Linked DNA regions of Anolis sagrei. The protein of the gene in region 1 binds, or shares a complex with, the protein of each later gene. Links are inferred from orthologs where the notes say so. Each region holds a gene or a part of one and is shown in the gene's direction. Other genes may lie near its edges.

What was found. Proteins that work in one complex are often made in the same cells at the same time.
Region 2: ARPC2 (region 1) and ARPC5 share a complex: the UniProt entries of both Homo sapiens proteins name them as parts of the arp2/3 complex. The link is inferred for Anolis sagrei from reciprocal best matches to the Homo sapiens genes ARPC2 and ARPC5.
Region 3: ARPC2 (region 1) and ARPC3 share a complex: the UniProt entries of both Homo sapiens proteins name them as parts of the arp2/3 complex. The link is inferred for Anolis sagrei from reciprocal best matches to the Homo sapiens genes ARPC2 and ARPC3.

The regions. Positions count from the first base shown.
Region 1 is NC_090021.1:228,566,618-228,575,063, forward strand, and holds the start of ARPC2 (actin-related protein 2/3 complex subunit 2), read left to right. Parts: upstream 1-5,222; 5' UTR 5,223-5,411; coding exon 5,412-5,485; intron 5,486-5,771; exon of another isoform or gene 5,772-5,947; intron 5,948-8,446. UniProt on the Homo sapiens protein: Actin-binding component of the Arp2/3 complex, a multiprotein complex that mediates actin polymerization upon stimulation by nucleation-promoting factor (NPF).
Region 2 is NC_090024.1:122,450,168-122,457,725, forward strand, and holds the start of ARPC5 (actin-related protein 2/3 complex subunit 5), read left to right. Parts: upstream 1-4,245; 5' UTR 4,246-4,325; coding exon 4,326-4,468; intron 4,469-7,558. UniProt on the Homo sapiens protein: Component of the Arp2/3 complex, a multiprotein complex that mediates actin polymerization upon stimulation by nucleation-promoting factor (NPF).
Region 3 is NC_090034.1:42,368,035-42,375,376, forward strand, and holds the start of ARPC3 (actin-related protein 2/3 complex subunit 3), read left to right. Parts: upstream 1-4,029; 5' UTR 4,030-4,179; coding exon 4,180-4,185; intron 4,186-7,342. Other genes in the region: GPN3 (GPN-loop GTPase 3), read left to right, coding at 182-244. UniProt on the Homo sapiens protein: Component of the Arp2/3 complex, a multiprotein complex that mediates actin polymerization upon stimulation by nucleation-promoting factor (NPF).

The DNA.
Region 1 (8,446 bases):
GCATTCATTCAGTTGTAAAATGGCCAAATAATTATGTTCTTAACTGCATACTAGTTGTAAGCAATCTTTCCAGTTAAACATTCAAAATTGTTTAAGTAAATCACAATGCCTAAGTATTCGAATCATAATAAAGTGCCTACAGACTATATTGTGTGGAGGAGAAGCTGCAAGAAATGTGTATGTAGAAACAAAATTAGCACATTCATGTTCATTCTTTCTATCAGGATTTTGTAATGTGCTTTCGCGTGAAACTATCTCAGGGTTTCCTTGACAAGATTTGTTGAGTAGGTTTGTGATTGCCTTCATCTGAGGCTGAATTAGACTTGCGCATGATTACTCAATGGGTTTCCATGGGTGCATCTACACTCTAGAAATAATGCAGTTTAAGTGCCACAACTCAATGCTATGGAATTATACGAATTGTAATTTGACAAGGTCTTTAACCTTCTGGATCAAAAAGTGCAGGTGTCTCACCAAACTACAACTCCCATGATTCTACAGGATTGAGCCATGGCAGTTAAAGTGGTCTCAAACTGTGTTAATTCTACAGATTAAATGCACTCTTTGTCTGAGTGGGGATTTGAACCCTGGGTCTCCCAAAGTCCTAGACCAGGGGTGTCAAACTCATTCTTATCAGCCTTATGGTTCAAAGGGTCATTGAATCTATGAATGGAGAATTCGTGGATTTTTTACACAGTGGTCAATGCTCTTTAGTTTTTATCTAGTTAGGTGAGGAAATGTAAAATGATCCCACTTAGAAATAAACTTGTCCAGATGGTTCTTTAGTTTGCATGAACAGTAAAAATTACAGATGTATCAGGGCATTTAGGAAATAGATATCACTTTGTATTTTCTGACAGCAGTTTGGCCTCTAAGTGTACTTTTCATTTATTTGCATCAATTTTGTGACAAAAAGACTTAGTATTTATTTTTCTAGTATTGATTCTAACCCTAGGTGGGAAAACATACCAACTGTTTAACTTTGGTTACTTAGAACATGAGATATTACTTTGCCTCCAGTGTATCTTCAATATAAATACTTAACATATGAGATTTTTGTTGTTGTTGCCCTCCCTTTTCTATCTCCCTTAGAAGTCTCCAGATGCAGAATTTTGCTTTTCCACCTTATAAGTGACAAAATGGGAACCTCATCCTCTCATAAAGGATTGTTCCACCATACTATAGACACAATTTCTTATCAGAAGAGCATGTATCATGGGTTAAAGAGGATCAAGGTGAAAGAGTGACATGTAAAGGATGAACCAAAAGTTACAAAGGGGGTTCAATATTTAATGACTTCTTTATTTTTGTTTTTAATTTACAACACCATATTGTATATGATGTATAGCATCATATACAGTATATATAAGAAATACATTTACATGAGGTGTGAAAAATCAAGTCTCATAAATGGTGTCCAATATCATAGCAATATATACAGTGTATCTATGACCCTTTCGTGGCTTGTAGCCCACCCTGTTCTATTAAACACCAACAAAACACAGCCAGATTGCCATAGGACCTTCTTAACCTTTTCATATTTTTGTACTATTCTTTGCCACTTGCGGAGGTTTATTAAGGAAATGAATGTTGCCTCTTATAAAAGAAGCAATATCCATGCTTTGTCCATTTATTTATATAGCCCAACAGCAACACACATGGTACTCCAATACCTGGCCTTTGCCCAGAGGAGCTGACACTCTGAACTTTGATGCAGGAAAGATAGTAAAAAGAAGGGAATAGCTGCATGTGCTAAAGCTTAGTCACAGTTATTAGGCTACATAGAAAAACCTGGGTTTTTACGATACAATGTAAACAGCCAAAGTCACACTCAGGCCCCCATCTATACTGACAATTTCATGCAGTTTCAAACAACTATTGAAGAAAGTGGTTTTGGTGTGCAGATGATCACATAGGAAATCCTGGAAAACCTTTGAGGCCAGGATGGTGATTACACAAACCAGAGAGCTCCGAGTAAGGGCTTTCTTTCGCACACCTTTTGTGGGTGTTTGTTGTCTGGCTGCCAGTTTGAAGCGAACTGTGATCTGCATTAAATGGTCATTGTAGATGGGGCCACAGTTTCACTGAAAATACAATCAATGTGGTACATTTTGTTAGGACCGCAAAACTGAGGGTCAAAAAAGCATATTTTTAATGTGTGGTTTTATAGGAATTTGACGCTCTTAATTTTAAAAATGACCTCAGATCTGCTCCATCCCTTACTTTCCCCCCAAAATGCTTTGATGTACTTTGTTGAAAAATGTAAATGAAATTAGTATTCAAATCATCACAGACTGAGCATCCCTTATCTGGAATCTTATCTGGGGTACTTTGTGCTTTTCCTGCATGGCAGAGGGTTGGACTAGATGTTCCACGTGGTCTCTTCAAACTCTACTATTCTATGAATGTGTTAATTCTGAAATTCTTCAAAATCAAAAGTTATCCACATGCGTTGTCGAGATAGTAACCCCTTTGCTTTCTGATGGTTCAATGGACACCTATATTTGTTCCTGCACAAAAGTATTTTAAAAATTGTGTATATAATTACCTTTCGGTTATATGTGTATTGTGTATATATGAAACATAAAATGAAGTTCATGTTTCTACTTGGGTCCCATCTCCAAGACTTCTCATTACATATACAAATACAGGTATTTCAAAAACTGAAAAAACACTTCTGGTCATTTTGCATAAGAGCCAATCAACCTGTATCAGAGTTAGACAGGTCTGAGGGATTTCAGATATGGGGAATAACATGGGATTCCCACCTCAGTTGTAATGGTGCTATTTCCCAGCATCCTCAAACAACCAAACATGAAACAAAACTTCTCAGATTTCAAGTACAGTACTTCAAAACATTTAGCTGTTCATGCCATACTTAAGCCCCATCTACACTGACCCATTAATACAATTTAAAGCTAGCTTCAAACTGCAGAAGTCTGACAACAAACTCCCACAAAAGGCTTGCAAAAGAAAGCCCCTTTAATGCACATCAGTGTTCTGTAGTTTGACTAATCTCCTGTCATCATCTGAGCAGCAAAACCACTTTATTACCAGTTTGCAACTGCATTAAATGGTCAGTGTAGATCAGGCCTTAGGGATGCATTTGGAAGTTCACACTTCAGCTTCTAAATTTGCGGTTAACCATGAAATTAGATTTTTTTAAAAAAGAAATAAATGTTTGTTGTGTTTTTCAAATACAGTACTACAATCCTGATGAAAAAAAATGTGCTTTTGCCCATGACAGGCCTTACTTTATAAACTAACCCCAAGTGCATGGTATTAAAATGCAAAGCAACATTATGTAGCAACAGGAATGAGCCGAGGCCACATCAACACAGGACTTTGATCAGGCATGGGTAAACTTTGGCCCTCCAAGTGTTTTGGACTTAAACTACCACGATTCCTAACAGCCTACCAGCTGTTAGAAATTGTGAGAGTTGAAGTTCAAAACACCTGGAGGACTGGAGTTTGCCCATGCCTGGCTTAGAGAACAAGGAATCAAATGTTATGCTGTAAAATGAATGCAGTTTTGCACCAGTTTAACTAGTGGGAGTATGTATTTATTTATTTATCGTGTCAGAAGTGGATTAAGGGTACAGTTATAATGTACTCAAAAAGACACAGTTAAAAACTTGGCATTATGCCAGATTTCCTTTGACCAGAAGCTGGCCACTTGGATTGCCTCTGATGTGGCTACAAGAAGGTCCTCCATTATGCATATGGGAGGCTCAGGTAGCATTGTAGTAGATCATCTGTGGTTTGCTCTTCTCCACACTCACATGTCGTGGACTCCACCTTGTGTTGGCTCTGCACCTTGTGGTGCCAGTCTGTTCAGTGCCTTCCAAGTCACCCAGTCTTCAGTATGCCCAAGAGGGAGTTTCTTATCTGGAATCAGCCACTGATTGAGATGCTGGGTTTTATGCTGCCACTTTTGGACTCTCGCTTGCTGAGGTGTTCCTGCGAGTATCTCTGTAGTTCTTAGGAAGCTGTTTCTTGGTTTGAGGCATTGGCATGCTGGCTGATATCCCAACAGAGGTGGGATGAAGATGTCACTGCCTTGGTCCTCTCATTATTGGCTGCTTCTTCCCAGAGGATGTCAGGTGATGCAATACCGGCCAAGCAGTGCAATTTCTCCAGCGATGTTGGGTGTAGACATCCTGTGATGATGCGGCATGTCTCATTAAGAACCAGGTCTACTGTTTTAACGTGGTGAGATCTGCTCCATACTAGGGGTTGTTTTTTTTTTTTAATTGCGTCAGGAGCAACTTAAGAAACTGCAAGTCGCTTCTGGTACGAGAGAATTGGCTGTCTGCAAGGACGTTGCCCAGGGGACGCCCGGATGATTTGATGTTTTTATCATCCTTGTGGGAGGCTTCTCTCATGTCCCCGCATGAGGAGCTGGAGCTGATAGAGGGAGCTCATCCGCCTCTCCCCGGATTCGAACCTGGGTCTTCAGTCCTGCCAGCACAGGGGTTTAACCCACAGCGCCACCGGGGGCTCTACTGCCAGGGAAACTGTGGAATCCTAGTTTGGTGAGGAACTAGCACTCTTAAGTAGAGAAGGCCTAGCACCTTGTACAACTACAAATCCTATCATTCCATGGCATTGAGCCATGGCAACTACAGTATTGCCAAACTGGATTAATTCTAGTGTAGATGCGCCCAAAAATAAATAAATAAATAAGCTCGAGGGCAACAGAGAATCGGAAGAGCTTCCGCCCCGCCCCCCTCGAGCGCATGAGCACGTGCCTGGCAAGCCAGTGTCCGCGAACGAGGCACATCTGGCGGCGCGTGCGAAGCCACAGGGAGGCCGCAACCAATGGGAGTCCGAGCTCCAAACCAGCTTCGAACGTTAGCCTTGGCCAACGCGCGCGCGGAAGAACTGGCTAAAGCACGCCTGGGCAAATCTGAGCCTTCCCTTTAGGTGTTTTGGGCTTCAACGGCCACCATTCGTAACAGCCTCAGGCCCTTTCCTTTTCCCCCTCAGCCGCTTAAGTGGAAAAGGGAAAGGCCTGAGGCTCTTAGGAATGGTGGCCGTTGAAGCCCAAAACACCTGCAGGGAGGGCCCAAGTTGACCAGGCCTAGGCTAAAAGGAAGAAGCCTTCCCCGCCTGCTTGGCATGCCTGCCAGCCGCGCATGCGCGCTGCTTTCCTCTTCCTCCCTCCCCCTTCCCTTCACGCCACTGCCTTTCCCACGTCCAGGATGTGACGCAGGGTGCCGGCTCGGCGCGGAGGTGGGTGGGGCCCCCGTGGCGGAAGCGGCTGGACTCGGGCGGGTCCCCGGTGCGGCGCGCTTCTCGGCTAGGTGGTGTCTTCTCCCCCCCTCCCCTGCCCCCCGCTCCTCCTCCTCTTCCTCCTTCTTCCCCGCCCGGCTTCCGTACCCCTTCCTCACCTCGGAGCAGCCGTCGCCATGATCCTGCTGGAGGTCAATAACCGCATCGTCGAGGAGACGCTGGCGCTCAAGTTCGAGGGCGCGGCCGCTGGGTGAGGAAGGAAGGAAGGCAGGGGCGGCGGGCGGGTGGGAGGAGTGGTGGCGGCGATGGGAGGAAGGGCGGGGTGGGGCAGGCGTTAGGACAGGGCAGCGAGGCCTACTCGCCTCACTACCTTCTTCTTCTTCTCCCCCCCCCCCCCCCCGCTTGCCCTGCGTTGCCCTCCCCACTGTTTATTCATGTATTTGCATGGCTGACGACTCCAACGTAGGGTTCACCCTTCAGCCTTCTTCCTTTTGGGCAAGTGGGTGTGGGCGGCGGGCCTCCACTTCCTCTCTCACCTTCTGGCGCTTGGGCGCTTCCGGAGCCTCCCTGCGAGGCCCCTAAGTGACTCAGGAGGTTCAGGCTGCTGCTGCCTATCCTCCCACCTCCAAGCTGTCAGGACGGATCTGTGCTTCGGGAGCTTTTGACATCACGTAGTCCTCCTTCAGATCGGGGAGGGGTGCCCTTTTTCCCACTTAGGAATGCAGTTTCACACCGCTTGGAAGTGCCAGGGCCCAGTGCTGTGGTATCACAGGAGGTGTGGCTTTACAGTAGTGGTTCTTAACCTGTGAGTCCCCAGATGTTTTGGCCTTCAACTCCAAGAAATCCTAACAGCTGGTAAACTGGTTGGGAATTGTGGGAGTTGTAGGCCAAAACACCTGGGGACTCACAGGTTGATAACCTCTGTTCTACATACTGAACACTCACATACGCAATGTATTGCCAAAGGCTTTGTTTCTTCCATATGCCTCTTTTATGGGGATATGAAGAGATCTGGTCATTTCTGTGCAATGTATTCCTGGTTAGTCAGTGGAACAGATCACATGAAGGCCCCTTTTCATTTTCTTCAGGGTCCCTTCAACATTAGGTCTGTGCTCTCCACCATCATCTTCCCCTTTCTACTCCTCTAAAGCAGTGCTACTCAACAAGTTGTTCCATGGTCCAATCCTGATCTATGAACCATCTGCACCTGGTCCCTTCTGTTCCCACAGGTTGAGAACCACTGCTATACAGGGTCTTTAGCCTTCCCTGCCAAAGAATGCTGGTGTCACACTAAACTATAAATCCTAGGATTCCATGGCATAAAATCATGGCAATTCAAGTGTTTTTTTGTTTTGTTTTATTCTATTTTTTGTTGGGTAAGAAGCGACTTGAGAAATTGCAAGTCACTTCTGGAGTGAGACATGGCCCAGAGCATGCCCAGATGTTTTACCACCCTGTGGGAGGCTTGTCTCAGGTCCCCGCATGGGAAACTCCCGTCTCACAGACCCGAACCGCTGACCTTCAGATCAGCAGTTCAGCCAGCACAAGGGTTTAGCCCATTGCGCCACCACGGCTTATGCTGTATTAATTCTACAAGTAGATGCAGTCTTGAAGGGTTTAATTGCTGGTTGCCTTCGGGTAACTACAATTTGGAATATTTGGGAGAAGAATTAGGATTTCTTTTCCACATTTTTGATTGCTTGCATATATATTTATGAGATATACTGTAAAAGGACCCATTTCCAATCATGAAATTCATTTCCAATACACATAGCCTGAAAATACAATACTGTATTTTATGTAATTTTGCACATGAAACAATGTTTGTGTCCATCAGAAAACAAAGGTATCACAACCTCAGCCACCCATGTGGACACTTTTGGATTTTGGAGGGTTTCAGGTTTTGGTATTTAAGATACGGGATGCACAGCCTGTGTAGGCTTTTTGGATAGAAGATACCAAGCCAATTGCACCGTGTGTTGCCACTTCCCTAAAGTGCTGCTGTTATTCTTCCTCTTGCCACTCACCAGGAAGTGTCGCTTTCACAGATAGCTGAATTGCAGGCCCTGGCTTTTTGATCAGGGTGTGTTCAGTACATATTTCAAGTACAGGTAAAATTATTTGAAAGTGTTTGAGAAGATAAGCATTCTTACTGCTGTCTGAGAAAGAGAACAGTAAACTCATGCACTTGGAGAAAGGACAGGTAGAGAAAGGGGTGGAGCTCCCATTGGGAAAAATTGAACAAGTGCTTATTAGAGTCTGCAGAAAGAACTGCACAATTATGCTGACAATATTTTTCCCATTGTATATGTTTAACTTGCTGTAAAGGTACGAATTATGGAGCCTTCTGGCTGTTGGGCTAAAAGTCCTAGCAGTAATAATCAACATAATCACTCAGAGAGGAATGCTGGTACTTGCAAACCAATATCATGATAGGGCTGATGTTGAACACTGGATGGTGCTTTCCTCAGACAAAAGGGACCTGTTTCTTATCTTTGACAAGTGACTTATATGGGTTGTATTTTTTTCTAGACTTCTACTTTTCTGTTTCATACTTTTCTGTTTCTACATATCTCCTAGCCGTTTCAAGTAAAAGGAGTCTGTTTTATGTATTTTGTATGTATTCATCCTGCTTGAGATCCATCTATTTCAACATTTTTGAACATTCCCCACAAATAGAGGCCTTCAGCAGGTCATTTCGAAACTGGAACCCATTCTATTTTCTGTGCATTCCTCAAATGTTGTTGTATGTCTTCAAGACATTTCAGACTTATGGTGACCCTAAAGCATAGTCAGTTTGCACAACACACTGTATCCTATCATATGATTTTCTTGGGGGGGGGGGATAGTGGAAAGGGGGTTACGTATGAATTTTTAGTCTCTTTTTTGTTAAATTATTAAAATATATATTTGGTAAAAGTCACATATGAGGAAAAGTGGTTATGTTATACTCATTTGCCCCAAATTGAATAAATAAATAATATGGTTTTCTTGAAAAGATTTTCCTTTGCTTTCCTATGAGACTGAGAGGGTGTGACTTGCCTAAGGTCACCCAGTGGGTTTTCATGGCTAAGCAAAGATTCAGACCCTTGTCTCCTATAATCATAATCCAGTGCTTAAAACTGCGATGACACACTAGCTGTCTTAATAAACCTATAAACCGTTTAACTTCAGCTGACTTTGGGCAGTGTTTAATCTGCATTCAATGGAT
Region 2 (7,558 bases), on another chromosome or scaffold:
ATTACCGTCCAATTTTGCCCATAAGAGCATTGACTGATAGACAGAATGCACAACACCTTAACAACATAACAGGAATGCGGTCTCCTTTCATGAAGGCCTTGCCTCAGCCAATTTATGGAAATGCAAGTGCTATGCCAAATCTGCAAAAGAACTATATGTCTGCTTTATACTCACAGCATCCAGTGCAACTGATGAATAGCAGATTGCCTCCGCTAAGAAGGCAACCTCTCAATTTGACCCCTCCCATGAATGTTTCTTCCCCCTGGAAACAGCAACCCCTACACCCCAAACCTAGAAATATTGTGAGGCACTTAAAAATGCCAAATGACTCATTAAGCAAAGTGAAACATTTGCAAGTAATTCCCAAGGGAAGAGCTGTTCACATGGAGAAAATTACTAAACAACACTGAGGCAAGCAAGCCGGCGGAGCATGAAGGCCACAGGAAGAAAAAGGATTAAATTCAGTTCAGCTAGAAAGCTATTACAGGGCTGGGCAATTCCCTTGGTACAAATAGTTACATAGGAGATATACAATGAGCTGGGAAAACTGGAGCTCATTAGCATGGAATCAGCAAAACGCACACATTATTTTCACTTGAACTGGATATTGTGCCAGGATAGAAAGCTTCAGCTGCCAGCAGCAAAAGGAAGAACCAAAAACCAGCCCTCTTTGTCATCTCTGCTTTAGCCACTGGACAGTTCCACTTGCCAAGAACGGCTGACCGCCAGCAGCCAAGTAAGGGTCAGTCCTCCATTTTTCAATTCGAATGTTAAAACTTTTTCATTTTTTTCCTGTATAATTGGTTTATATTATTACTCTATATCATTTTTTTCTTTCAACTGCCCTGTGATTATCTGACAACCTTGTGGGACATAAATACAATAAAGCCGCAGCAAACTGAGCAGACTTACCACAAAGGGACTCAGATCGGCTGTGTTGACCAAATACCACAAAGAGGTAATCCAAGGCAACATGTGGCAAGACCACCAAAGTTGCAGGATGCTCTAATTGTGGCCCAGAATTTGGAGTTTCCTATGACTTTGTCTATATAAACCAGGAGTCCTCAAACACTGCACATATCTGATTTGGACTATTGCAACGCCCTGTATGTTGGCCTTCCGATGTCTACGACCCGAAAGCTCCGTATTGTTCAGAATACGGCAGCCAGGTTACTCACAAGAAAACTCATGAAATGCCATATAACACCAGTGCTGCAACATTTACATTGGCTTCTGTAGTGAAATTGCTACTCTGTGTTAAAGTTTTGGTGCATAGCTCTATGTTTACATATGGCAGAAAGGGAAGAATAGGCACAGACAGGGTAGCAACAGCAGAGATAGGATTCATTTGCATATGTGAAGCCAATTGGTCATATGCAGATTAGTGTAGGCCCAGGATTTGAAAAGGCTGCTAGGCCAAAATGACAGTTGGGGAGAGCAGAGCTGAACATTCCAAAGGGGCGGATCCAAGGTTCTAAAAGAGGCAGTTAGAGTGAGGGAGTTTGAAAATGACAGTTTGGAATCTGTGTGTGAAGAGTTGGTTTTTGAGTGCCTGATAGAAATAAACAGTTATGAAGATGTGTTAAAGACTTCTGATACAGAGAAGCAGTTAGTAAATAGAGCTCGAGTTTAAAGGAATATAGAGAAGGCTAGTGTTGCCTTAGTTCAGAATATAATTCAGCCAAGAGTGTGTAAAGCAAGTAACATGTTTGTGAATATGAAACATTGAGAGTTTATTCAGAAAAGTTAACCAAGTAAATGATATTGACTGTAAGCCTCAAGATTGCAACAAAACACAAATGTAACCACAAGCGTTGGAGCCAGAAGTTATAAATAAACTGTGTTACTTGGTTTTACACAAGAGTGTTTCATTGCCTGCGATATACAATACAAAGGTTTGACAGCACACAGAAAGCCCCTACCAATATAAAAGAAGAAACTGAATCAGTATAAGGCAGCAAAGAAGTTTTTAAAAGAGGAAATAGTCTCTCTCCCTCGCCTCAGCTTCCAAATGAGTACCGTGGCCTGTATAAGATGTTAGTTCTGACCTTTACGGCCAGGGTCCATCATACCTTAGGGAGCGCTTCTCCTCCCATCATCGGAGGTCGCAACAACCAGCCCAACGCAACTTACTCTATAGACCGGGTCCTAGAGAAGTGCACTTGGAAAGTACCAGATGCAGGGCTGCTGTGCCCAGGCTGGTTCCTCAGGTGCTCTGCTATGGCTGACTTCTCCGGTTAACGTGGTCTGCAGTGCCTTTCATGTTCCTTGATTTGTGTTTGGGCAATGCTGCGTTTGGTGGTCCCTATGTAGACTTGTCCACAGCTGCATGGTACACAGTAGACTCCTGCAGAAGTGAGAGGATCCCTCTTGTCCTTTGCTGAACGTAGCATTTGTTGGATTTTCTTGGTGGGTCTGAAGATAGTTTGTATGTTGTGTTTCCTCATCAGCTTCCCTATGCGGTCAGTGGTTCCCTTGATGTATGGCAAGAACACTTTTCCTCTGGGTAGATCTTCGTCTTTATTCTCATGGCTTGGTCTTGGTCTTGCAGCTCTTCTGGTGTCTGAGGTGGAGTATCCATTGGCCTGTAGAGCCCAGTTGAGGTGGTTCAGTTCATCTTGGAGGAGGTGGGGTTCGCAGATTCTTTTTGCACGGTCTGCCAAGGCTTTAATGGTGCTTCTTTTTTGACTTGGGTGATGGTTGGAGTTTTTATGTAGATATCTATCTGTGTGTGTGGGTTTTGAACAAAATGAACAAAATCTGGCTACCAGTATTAAAAACTCTAAAATCACAACAGCACAGCAACAGAGAAGAAACAAACAAGGACATCTAATCACCTCTCAACAAAAGATTGCCCCAGGCACTGCCAGGCCATCAAATGCTAATCAAGGTGGTCAGTTGAAATATTCACAATTTCCCCTTCCCTTCTGCTTTCCCCTTCCCTTCTGCTCCCTCACCCATATTGTGCTTGAATCGTTATATTTATATTTTTAATGTACCAAACATACCAAGCTTTTATGAAAATGTGACTATTTTCTGTGCTGGTCAATGACCGAAATAAATGATTTGATTTGAAACATTCACACCTAGCTCCAGCAGACAAGAGTCCTTTGTCTCGCCCTGGTCATTCCACAGATATATAAACCCATTTTCCTACTTCCAACAGACCTCACTACCTCTGAGGATGCTTGCCATAGATGCAGGCGAAACGTCAGGAGAGAATGCATTTAGACCATGGCCACATAGCCCGAAAAAACCTACAACAACCCGAAGAGGATGTTGTTGTGAGAGGGGTCAAAATGTCTTCCTCTATTAGGTTCTTGTGGGTTTTTTCGGGCTATATGGCCATGTTCTAGAGGCATTTCTCCTGACGTTTCGCCTGCATCTATGGCAAGCATCCTCAGAGGTAGTGAGGTCTGTTGGAATTAGGACAATGGGTTTATATATCTGTGGAATGGCTGGGGTGGGGCAAAGAGCTCTTCCCTGCTGCAGCTAGGTGTGAATGTTTCAACTGATCACCTTCATTAGCATTTGAAGGCCTGGCTGAGCCTGGGAAAATCCCCTGTTGAGAGGTGTTAAGATGTGCCTGGTTGTTTCCTCTCTGTTGTTTTGCTCTTGTAATTTTTGAGTTTTTTAATATTGGTAGCCAGATTTTGTTCATTTTCATGGTCTCTTCCTTTCTGTTGAAATTGTCCACATGCTTGTGGATTTCAATGGCTTCTCTATGTAGTCTGACATGGTGGTTGTTGGTGTGGTCCAGCATTTCTATGTTCCTTTATTGTCTGTTCCGCTTTACGGCGACACAGGGAGATACTTTTCCCCTGTTACGGCTAAACCCAAAGAGGGGCGTGGCCGAGCACTTCCGCCCTCACCGAAGACGCTGGGCGCGTCAGAGGTCACGTGCTGCTCACACCTTGCTCTTTCACCACGTCGGTCCGCAATTCTGCGCATGAGCGAGACCTCTGGGGGGGGGAGGAAATGATAGTTTGGCGCCTGCGCAGTAGAGTAATAACAAAGCAAGCGGTTATATCGTTGGTAACAAGACTTGTTAAAAAAGCAAGGTGGAGATATGCATCTGGGCCGAGTCTCAGTCTCCTATGTATTTCGCAAAGGCAAGTGCCGCGCGGCGGGAGAGTCCGCGCGCTCGCTCGCTCCCCCCCCCCCAAGCGCGAGCGCTTCTCCAGCGCATGCGCGGCGCCTCTTTCTTGACGCGAGGCCACCGCCTCCGCTTGGGAGGGAGGGAGGGAGGAGCGCCGCCTTCTTCTTCTTCCTGCTTTCCTTCCTTGCCTGAGGGAGTGAGGGAGTGAGTGAGGTGGGGCGCAGCCATGGCGAAGCACACCGTCTCCTCCGCGCGCTTCCGCCGAGTGGACGTGGACGAGTACGACGAGAACAAGTTCGTGGACGAGGAGGACGGCGGCGACGGGCAGGTGGGCCCCGACGAGGGCGAGGTGGACTCCTGCCTCAGGCAATATCCTTCTGCTGGTTTGGCCCTTGAGGGAGAGGGGGAGGGGGGAGGGAACAAGGCTTCCGGCCCACCAAGAGCAGTGCAATCTCCTCGCCTCCCCCACACACCTCAGTACCATGCAAGTTGGGAGGGAGCATTTGGCAGGACACTTGAGGCATCCACAGAGAAAAGGGGCAGGCCCAGGGCTCTTCCACACAGCCATCTAACCCAGAAAATCAAGGCAGAAAACCCCTGGTTTGAACTGGGCCATCTGAGTCCACACTGCCATATATCCCAGTTCAAAGCAGATCATAGAATCATCCAGTCCAACTCCCTGCCAAGAAGCAGGAATATTGCATTCAAAGCACCCCTGACAGATCATAGAATCAAAGAGTTGGAAGAGACCTCATGGGCCATCCAGTCCAACCCCCTGCCAAGAAGCAGGAATATTGCATTCAAAGCACCCCTGACAGGTGGCCATCCAGCCTCTGTTTAAAAGCTTACAAAGAAGGAGCATCCACCACATGCTCATCCGGAGTTTTGGAGTTAGGTGCCATCTCTATGCAGATGACACACAACTCTACTACTCATTTCCACCTAATTCCAAGGAGGCCCCTCAAGTGCTGGACGAGTGCCTGATCGCTGTGGCTGTCTGGATGAGGAGGAACAAGCTGAAGATCAATCCCGACAAGACAGAGGTCTTCCTGGTCAATCGTAAACCAGATTGGGGTATAGGATGGCAACCTGTGCTGGACGGGGTTACACTCCCCCTGAAGTCAAAGGTCCGCAGCTTGGGAGTCCTCTTGGATTCATCACTTACGTTTGAGGCTCAGGCGTCAGCGGAGTCCAGGAGGGCTTTTGCACAACTAAGACTTGTGCACCAGCTGCGACCGTACCTCGCAAAGCTTGATTTGGCCGGGGTGGTCCATGCCTTGGTCACCTCTAGATTGGATTACTGTAATGCGCTCATGGGGCTGCACTTGAAAACGGCTCGGAAATTCCAACTGGTCCAACAGGCGGTGGTCAGGATGTTAACTGGCGCTCCTTACAGGGAGAGGTCAACCCTCCTGTTTAAGGAGCTCCATTGGCTGCCGTTTACCTACCGAACCCAATTCAAGGTGCAGGTGCTTACCTACAAAGCCCTGAACGGTTTGGGACCTGCCTACCTGCGTGACCGCATCTCCATTTATGAACCCATGCGCTCCCTTCATTCATCCGGAGAGGCCCTGCTCGCGATCCCACCTGCGTCACAGGCGCGTTTGGTGGGGACAAGGGACAGGGCCTTCTCTGTGGTTACCCCCCGACTCTGGAACACCCTCCCCAAAGACATTAGACTAGCACCCATGTTGGCAGTCTTTAGGAAGAACTTGAAGACCTGGCTATTCTGATGTGCCTTCCCAGAATAGGATAACCCCCAGCACCATGTCCCAGAAACACTTTATTAGAGTTAAGATTCTCTGCACATTGCACTTACTCAGAATTCCAACATACCACCGTCACATCCAGCACTTTTTAACCTGTACCCATCATTGGCCCGGCCTGATTTTAATGTGTAATAGTGTAATGTTTTTGTCATTGCTTATGTTTTAATTTTTGCTTTGTATTGTATTGTTATTGTTTGCTGTTGTTGTGTTGAGGCTTTGGCCTTTGTAAGCCGCATCGAGTCCTTCGGGAGATGCTAGCGGGGTACAAATAAAGTTTAATAATAATAATAATAATAATTTTTCATTTATGGTGGGAATGCCCCCAAGTGAAGAATTTTTGGAAGGATATATTTACCGAAATAAACAACATTATAGGATCAAATATTATGCCGGATGCTAGGTTAGCATTAGTAATGGACACCACGTAGCTGAATGTAGAAACAAGTAAGAAAGAATTGGTGACTATTTTGCTCAGAGTGGGAAGAATTATAATAGCAAAGAATTGGAAAATAATAACTAATCTAACACTGGAAGCAAGGTATAGGGAAGTTTGGAATGTAGCTTTAAATGATAAACTAACAATGGAAATGAGGGTATTCAGGGGGGAAATTAACAGATCAGATTTTGAGGCATACTGGTTGGTCTTTATTAAATATGTCTTAGAGAGCGAAAATGGAAAACAACAGAATTTGGTTGGTCAGGAATTTTGGAGATGACATTTAATTAATGGTTGATTTAGAAATACATGGTGAAGGAAATGATACTTGTTCAGGCCTTGGTGGTGGGGCTATGTGAACACTGATTATTATTATTATTATTATTATTATTATTATACCCTGCTTTATGAAGGGGACTCAGAGCAGCTTAACACAAAAGCATCAGCATAACAATTTAAAAATATACAAATATGCAAACATTAAAACAGGATTAAATATAACCAGAATTTTTAAAAATCCTAGTTAAAAACCGTCAAAACACATTCAAAGTTAAAAATCACAGCGCACCCTTAATTGATCTTAAACACCTTCATGCTTCTGAAACTGTGGGTCCCGATCCCAAATAGCGTCCCCTTAGCTCAACGTTCGGATCACAAAAAAATTGACAACGGTAAAGAGTTTCTGAATGCTGAAGCACTGAAGCAATGTTCGGCCTTTCTGCACAGCCATATAACCCAGAATGCTTTGAACTGGGTTATCTGAGGGCCCTTCCACACAGGCCTGTATCCCAGAATATCAAGGTAGAAAATCCCACATTATCTGAGTGTGGACTCAGATAAACCAGTTTAAACAGAATATCAAGGCAGATAATCCACAGTATCTGCTTTCAACTGGATTAGCTGAGTCCACACTGCCATATAATATATCAGTGTGGATATTGTACAGCTGTTTGGAAAAGGCCTTTGTTAGTAATAAATTGCAGCGTTGCAGTGGACTCAGCAAAAAATGTTTCAGGTGTACTCCACAAAAAGAAAAATCAGCCTGTTTAGCAAGCCTTGCAAATGCTTTTTATTACCAGTAAATACTTGTATTGTTGAGGGCTTTCACAGCCGGAATCACTGAGGTGCGTGATTTCCAAGCTGTATGGCCATGTTCTAGAAGCATTTTCTCCTGAGGTTCCATCTGCCACAAATGTCAGGAAAAAAATGCACTAACAATACGGGTCATACAGCCCGGAAACCACACAATGCCTG
Region 3 (7,342 bases), on another chromosome or scaffold:
AGTGCTGGGACCTCATCATACTACGACTCCCAGGATTCCACAGCCTTGAGCCATAACACTGAAAGTCGTGCCGAAACTGCTTTAATTCTACAGTGGAGAGATGCACCCTACACTTTGAATAATTTTGCCTTCTTGAAGAATGCAGTTTGCTGTAATCCTTCCTATCCTTTTCCCTCCACAGGAAAATGAGGAGAATAAACCTTCCACTTTTGATGAGTTCTTCCAAGAGCGAGTGGATGAGTGACAAGATTGGGATCCATTTTGAGGAAAGGTATCAAGATCAAATGCATCAAACATCAAATGCAGCCAAGGCAAAGAGATCCCCAGAGGGATCTGCCCCATAGACTTTTTCCCCCCTTGGAGAGTTTACTGTACATACTGAGAGATAAATTATTGTGTTATTTCATTGTTTGATTGCTTCCTTGGCAATAATAAACATGAGAGTATCTGGTCTTCCTATCTGTTTCTTGGTGTGCTTTTGTTAGCTCAGGTGGCGGAAGCAAATACAGAAAAGGCTGCGTTGCCATTGTCACTTGAGTGTGTTAACTTGTTCAGCATTGCTGTCCTTTGCTCTGATTCAGTCTAAGGTAAGGAGGGTGAATGTGTTGCCAACAAGCAACAAGGCATTGTTTGTTTTTGGGGTGTTAGGTAGTATCATTTAGTTAATTAGTAACACTATTTATTAGAAAAAAGCCAGTTTTTATTTGTTTTTTTATTAATGCCCCCATTAGAAAATGCATAAGGATGTGGGTAAACTACAATACCCAAAACTGTTGGTCAGTCCTCCCCAAAACAGGCCTGTATGGTCCAGATCCAATGTTGGCTGGGTTCAGTGCTCTCTGGATGCAGGTGAACTACAAATCTCAAAATCAAGGTTAATTCCCACAAACTCCTGTAGTATGTTCACTTGGTCATGGGGTTTCTCTGTGGTAAGTTTGGTCCCGGTCCATTGTTGGTGGGGTCACTGTTTCTCTGGATGCAGGTGAATTACAACTCCCAGATTCCCAGGGCAATCACTCCCAAACTCTGCCTGTATTCACAGTTGGACATATTGGGTCTATGTGCCAAGTTTGTGGTCCAGATCCATTATGGATGGGGTTCAGAGTGCTCTATATGCACACACCCCCAGCCCCTCCATTATGTTTCGTTGGTCCTCAGGGTTTTGTGCAGCACATGTGTTCCAGATCTGCCATTGGGGGCTTCAGAATGCTCTCTGGGTGCAGGGTGAAATACAACTCCCACACGGGTAGGTTAGTCCTCCCCCAAACTCTTACAGTATGTTCTGTTGGTCATGGGGGTTTTGTGTCCCAAGTTTGGTCCAGGCCCGTCATTCGTGAGGGTTGCAGTGGTCTGTGGAAGTGGATGAAGGTACTGTAAATCCAATCATCCGTGGTCCATCCTTCTGCAAACCGCACCAGGATGTAAAGTGGGTCATGGAGGGGTCTGTGTGGCAAGTTTGGTCCAGATCCATCATTAGTCGGGCCGCAGTGATCTCAGGAACTTAGTAAAGGAACTACAAATCCCATCATCCATGCCAAGTGGGTCCAGATCCATTGTTGGTTGGGTTCACAATGCTCTGGATGCAGGTGAACTACGGCTGCTATAAATCAAGGTCAATTTCCCCCAAAACCTCTTGTTCAGTTGCTGTTTGCTGTGTGCCATAGGAAAGGGATAAGGGAGAGAAAGTGGGCATGGTCATGCAAATTCCACAGCAATGGAAAAAGTAAGGAACCCTGGGATGTCCATTCTGGAGGAAAAAAACAACATCTAGGATGAAATTGTCCCCAAATTGAAGCCTTAACTTGGGTGGTAGGCAGTATGGTGTTTGTGGAGAACATTGGCAGGGGTTGGGAGACATGTTCATGGCACCCACCATAACCTGAAATGTCCTTGGAAGGAGTGCTTTGAGTGGCTCCTCAGCACTGTGGGTTAAATTGGGAGGCTGTGTGTGTAAGGGGACACCCCTGCCACATACACATCAATTTTATCATATGTATAGATAGAAGATTTGTATTGAAACAAGAAACAATACACAAACTCTATACTAGACTGATTGATTAATTCTGTGGCCACTTTGGTATCAGTGCTTCAGGTTTCCCTATCCATGGCCTGGATCACATTATCTGCGGCCATTTAAATTGCTCTATTTCAAAAGTTCACAAGCCTCCTCTGCCCAGAGGGAGCTTCTACAATAGCGAATTAACACAATTTGACCACTTCAACAGCCCTGGCTCAGTGCTCTGGGTGTTGTCGTTTCCCAAGGTCTTGAGCCTCCTCTGCCAAAGGAAGCTCTTACAATACTGAATTAACACAGTTTGACCGGCTAAAATGTCTTGCCTCAGTGCTCTGCAAACCTGGTAGTTGTAGTTTCCCAAGGTCTCAAGCCTCCTCTGCCCAAAGGGAGCTTCGAGACGAGGAGAGCATTGATTCCAGGGCTGGGGAGGCCATGGGGGCCAAGTGGGCCATGTGGCCCAAGCGGCTGCTGGGCCGGCTGTGAAATGCGGGAGTGGAAAGAAAAGACTCAGTAGAGCGAAAGAAAAGACAAGGAAGCAAAAGCTAAGGATAACCCTTTTACTGAAGGGTAAACGACAAGATAACTAATCATATGGGGGGTGGGGGGTGGGGGAGAAGGCTGCAGATAAGTCTCCTGGGCACTGGTAGCTGCTGCTAACCTCCTCCAGACCGCTGATCATTCGCAAAAATTGATTTTTGAAACTAAAAGAGCTCCCGTCACCTGTGGAACTCCTCGCTGCGGTGCCAACTATATCAATATTTTGCTCAAGGGGGAGGGGGGGGGTGTCCTCGACAATACTTTGGAAACTATAACTCCCAGGTTTGCAGAGCACTGAGCCAAGACAGTTGAAGTTGTTAAACTGTGTTAATTCACCACTGTAGAAGGTCCCTTTGGGCAGAGGAGGCTCGGGACCTTAGGAAACTACAACTCCTAGAGGCTGTTGAAATAGTCAAACTGTTAAAGGTAAAGGTTTATCCTGACATTAAGTCTAGTCGTGTCCAAATCTGGGAGTGGTCTCATCTCCATTTTTAAGCCAAAGAGCTGGTGTTGTCCGTACACACCTCAAGGGTTATGCAGCCAGCATGACAGCATGGAGTGCTGTGGGGCTCCTGATTACGCAGAGGGTTAATCCACTGAGCTGCTGAACTTGCTGAACAAATGGTTGGCGGTTTGAATCCAGGGAGCGGGGTGAGCTTCCACTGTTAGGTCTAGATTCTGCCAACCTAGCAGTTTGAAAACATGCAAGAGTGAGTAGATCAATAGGTACCAATTCAGTGGGAAGGCAAGGGTCAAACTGTAAATTTGCTATTGCAGAAGCTCCCTTTGGGTAGAGGAGGCTCGAGACCTTGGGGAACTACAACTCCCAGAGCACTGAGCCAGTGCTGTTGAAGTGGTCAAACTGTACATTTGCTATTGCAGAAGCTCCCTTTGGGCAGAGGAGGCTCGAGGCCTTGGGGAACTACAACTCTCAGAGCACAGAGGCTGGGCCATTGAAGTGATGTGGGCAGAGGAGGCTTGAGACCTTGGGGAACTACAACTCCCAGAGCACAGAGCCTGGGCTGAAGTGGTTTGGGCAGAGGAGTCTCAAGACCTTGGGGAACTACAGCTTCCAAAGCACAGAGCCAGGGCAGTTGAAGTGGTCAAACTGTAAATTTGCTCTTGTAGAAGCTCCTTTTGGGCAGAGGAGGCTCAAGACCTTGGGAAACTACAACTCAGAGCAATGAACCAGGGCTGAAGTGGTCAAACTGTACATTTGCTATTGGAGAAGCTCCCTTTGGGCAGAGGAGGCTCGAGACCTTGGGGGACTACAACTCCCAGGGAACTGAGCCAGGGCTATTGAAGTGGTCAAACTGTACATTTGCTATTGGAGAAGCTCCCTTTGGGCAGAGGAGACTCGAGACCTTGGGGAACTACAAGTCCCAGGGAGCCAGGGAACTCCACGCGGCGCTGAAAGCCAGCGGGCCTCTTCGTGGGCCTTGCTCTCGGGCGCCCCCTCCTGACCAACGAAGCCACTGCCTCCGCTCCTGCCGGGCCCCGCCCTTCCTGCTTTGGGTGGAAGAGGAAGGAAGGCTGGCAGGCAGGAAGGGAGGAGGGCGCGTTTGGCTGCCTGGCGGGCTGAGAAGGAAGAGCCTGTCCTCTCCGGCTCCCATCAAGTGCTTCCCAAAATGCCGGTAAGGGGCAGGGGGGGATGGATCCTTGGGGATCTCAAGTCCCATCGCTTGGGGGTGGAGGTGGAGGTGGATGCTGGGACTCCCAACTGGCCCAAGAGAGCCACTAGCTTCAGACCCAAAGGGGCCCAGACGGGAGCGAGATGGGAGCCTGCCCAATGGCTGCCCTGCTGGAAGCAAGGTTGGGGTGAGGGTGAGGATGATTTTTTGGGTTGGTAGGACTTCTGTAGCACCCAACAGACTTCTCTTTCCCAGGTCTATTTCCCCCCAGCTTGGGACTTTCTGCCCCCCCCCCCCAATATTTTAAATTACTTTTCTGAACACAAAAAGGGCACAAATAAATATACAATAGCAGTCCCTGTTTATACATACACTCAGACATGCTTCACAACCATTGCATGTCAAGCTAGACAACATACATTATAGGTCGAAACTACAGACCTCTCTATTTGTATTTGTGTGTATGTATGTATGTGTATATAGAGAGAAATAGATAGTGGATTTGTTGCTTTCCTTTTTTTTTTTGGTGTCTCTACAATTTTCCCCAAACTGGTTTGCATCCGCTTATTTGAACACTGACAAATACAGATCCCAACATTTTATGCCTCCAAATCCATCCATAAAGCCTTTCCCCTCCCCTATTATATTATATTATTGTTATATTATATTATTATAATATATTGTTATAATATAATTTATATTATATTATATTGAGAGATGGGTAAAAAGGTTTCTTTTAGTAATGTACCCAGTGACCAGCTTGGGGATTTCGGATCTTGAAAACAGCTGGGGATGATGGGAGCTGCTGTCCCCAAGGCCACCTGTCCCCAAAGGCTGTTGTTTCGGGTCTGTCCCAAAAGGCTGGGACTTCAAATGTCAGCCGCGGGGGAAACTTCCTTATATGGTTTCAAGAGGGAAGTCAGGCGACACTGGCTGTCAGGCAAGGCTGATTTTGGGGGGGAAACCAAACAATGGGAGGATTCGAACCCGAATCCCGCAGCACTTGATGGATCTCCACTGTGGGATGGATGTGGTTTGAGACCACTTGAGCCTGGGAGGCGTAGTTTGGAGAGTCAGCCACCCTCTTTGGCAGGCCTTGGAAAACTACAACTCCCAGGATCCCGTCACACTCAGCCATGGCACTCCAAGAAGTGTCGAACTCGAGATTTTTCTGTGTTAGGTGTTATTACTAAAAGGCTATGGCAAAATTGGCTTTGAACAAAAAATCTGACTCGATACCCCAGCACCCCTTGTAATTCTCTTATATTGAGTCTTCTTGGAAAATTGGTTTTGAAGTGCCTTCCATTGTGATGGTAATGCAGCGCCTTCTTGGTTGTGGCATCAGCTTGTCTTGTCTTTCTGTGTTTCTGACTCCAGTCCGAGGCTTATCTGGCTCTCCTTTCCCCATTTCCTTTGTACATCCTTTTTCGAGTATCGCTTTATTGTACTTATGTACCTAGAGTCTTTTCTTCTTATTTATTAGAGTCATCATTACTCTAAATTGTTTTGAAGTCTTGCCACAAATGGCAGAATTAATTGGAGTATTTTTTTTCAAAAAAAAAAAAAGAAAAAATAATAGAGATGACTTTGCTTTGCTCTTGCATTTGCTCCTTAAGATGAATGGCCTGAATCCACTTGATCGGCTGGTAATAGCCGAAATAGAGGCACAGAGGAGTTGAAGTGGCTGGATATATGCCTGGCTTGAGAAGATTGTCTTTCTTGACCTGGTAAAATATTGTCTCTTGACTTGAGAAGATGGGAGTCACAGTCTACCAACATCTTGCATTTCAGGCACTGGCTTTGGGTGCATCTACACTGTGGAAATAATCTAGTTTGGTGCTACTTGAACTGCCATGGCTCAAAGCTATGGAATTCTGGGGTTTCTAATTTGATGAGACAGCAGCCCTCTTTGGCAGGGAAAGCTACCCCAGTTTTCAAACTATAACTCCCAGGATCCAATCTCATTGAGCCATGGCAGTCCAATAGAGCTAAGTAATAGCTCTGTGGTGCTTCTTCAAATAATAACAATTATAAATATTATTATTATTGCTATTATTTCCTGCTTTTATCTCTTGACCGAGATGCCAGGCAGCTCACAGCATGAAAAATCAATGCAATTTAAAATCTACAATGCATACATATTAGAATAGAATTAATCATACAAATCAGTCGTAAGAAATGAACATATCCCTTGTTGTTTCCTGGTGGTATTATTATTATTATTATTATTATTGTTATTATTATTTCCTGCTTTTATCTCTTGACTGAGACGCCAGGCGGGTCACAACTTGACAAAACTATGCAATTTAAAATCTACGACATGTAAATATTATAATTTTATTTATCATATCAGGAGCAAACCAAGGGTACCATTGTAATGTATTTATAAACACACACACACACACAATTTAGAATCTTGGCAGTATATGAATGTCCTTTGACCAGTACCTGGCCACTTGGAGTGCCCTTGGTGTTGCTATGAGAAGGTCCTCCATTGTGCATGTGGCAGGGCTCAGACTGCATTGTAATAGGTGGTCTGTGGTTTTCTCTTCTCCACACTCACATGTCGTGGACTCCATTTTGTGGCCCCATTTCTTAAGGTTGGCTCTGCCTCTCGTGGTTCAGGAGCACAGTCTGTTCAGCGCCTTCCAAGTCGCCCAGTCTTCTGTGTGCCCAGAAGGGAGTCTCTCCTTTGGTATCAGCCATGGATTTTAGCCTGCCACTTTTGGACTCTTGCTTGCTGAGGTGTTCCTGCGAGTATCTCTGTAGATCTTCGAAAACTATTTCTTGATTTAAGGTGTTTGCATGTTGGCTGATATCCAAACAGGGGATGGGCCAGAGATGTCATTGCCTTTGTCCTTTCATTATTGGCTGCTACTTCCTGGCGGATGTCAGGTGGTGCGGTACTGGCTAAACAATGTAATTTCTCCAGTGGTGTAGGGTGCAGACATCCTGTGATAATGCAGTATGTCTCATTAAGAGCCACATCCACTGTTTTAGCATGGTGAGAACATGTGTACTCAGCAGCAGAATACTAAAGCACAAGGGCAGATGTCTTCACTGTGTCTGGTTGTGATCCCCAAGTTGTGCCAGTCAGCTATCGTATGACATTGTTTATAGCACCCACTTTTTGCTTGATATTTAAGCAGTGCTTCTTGTA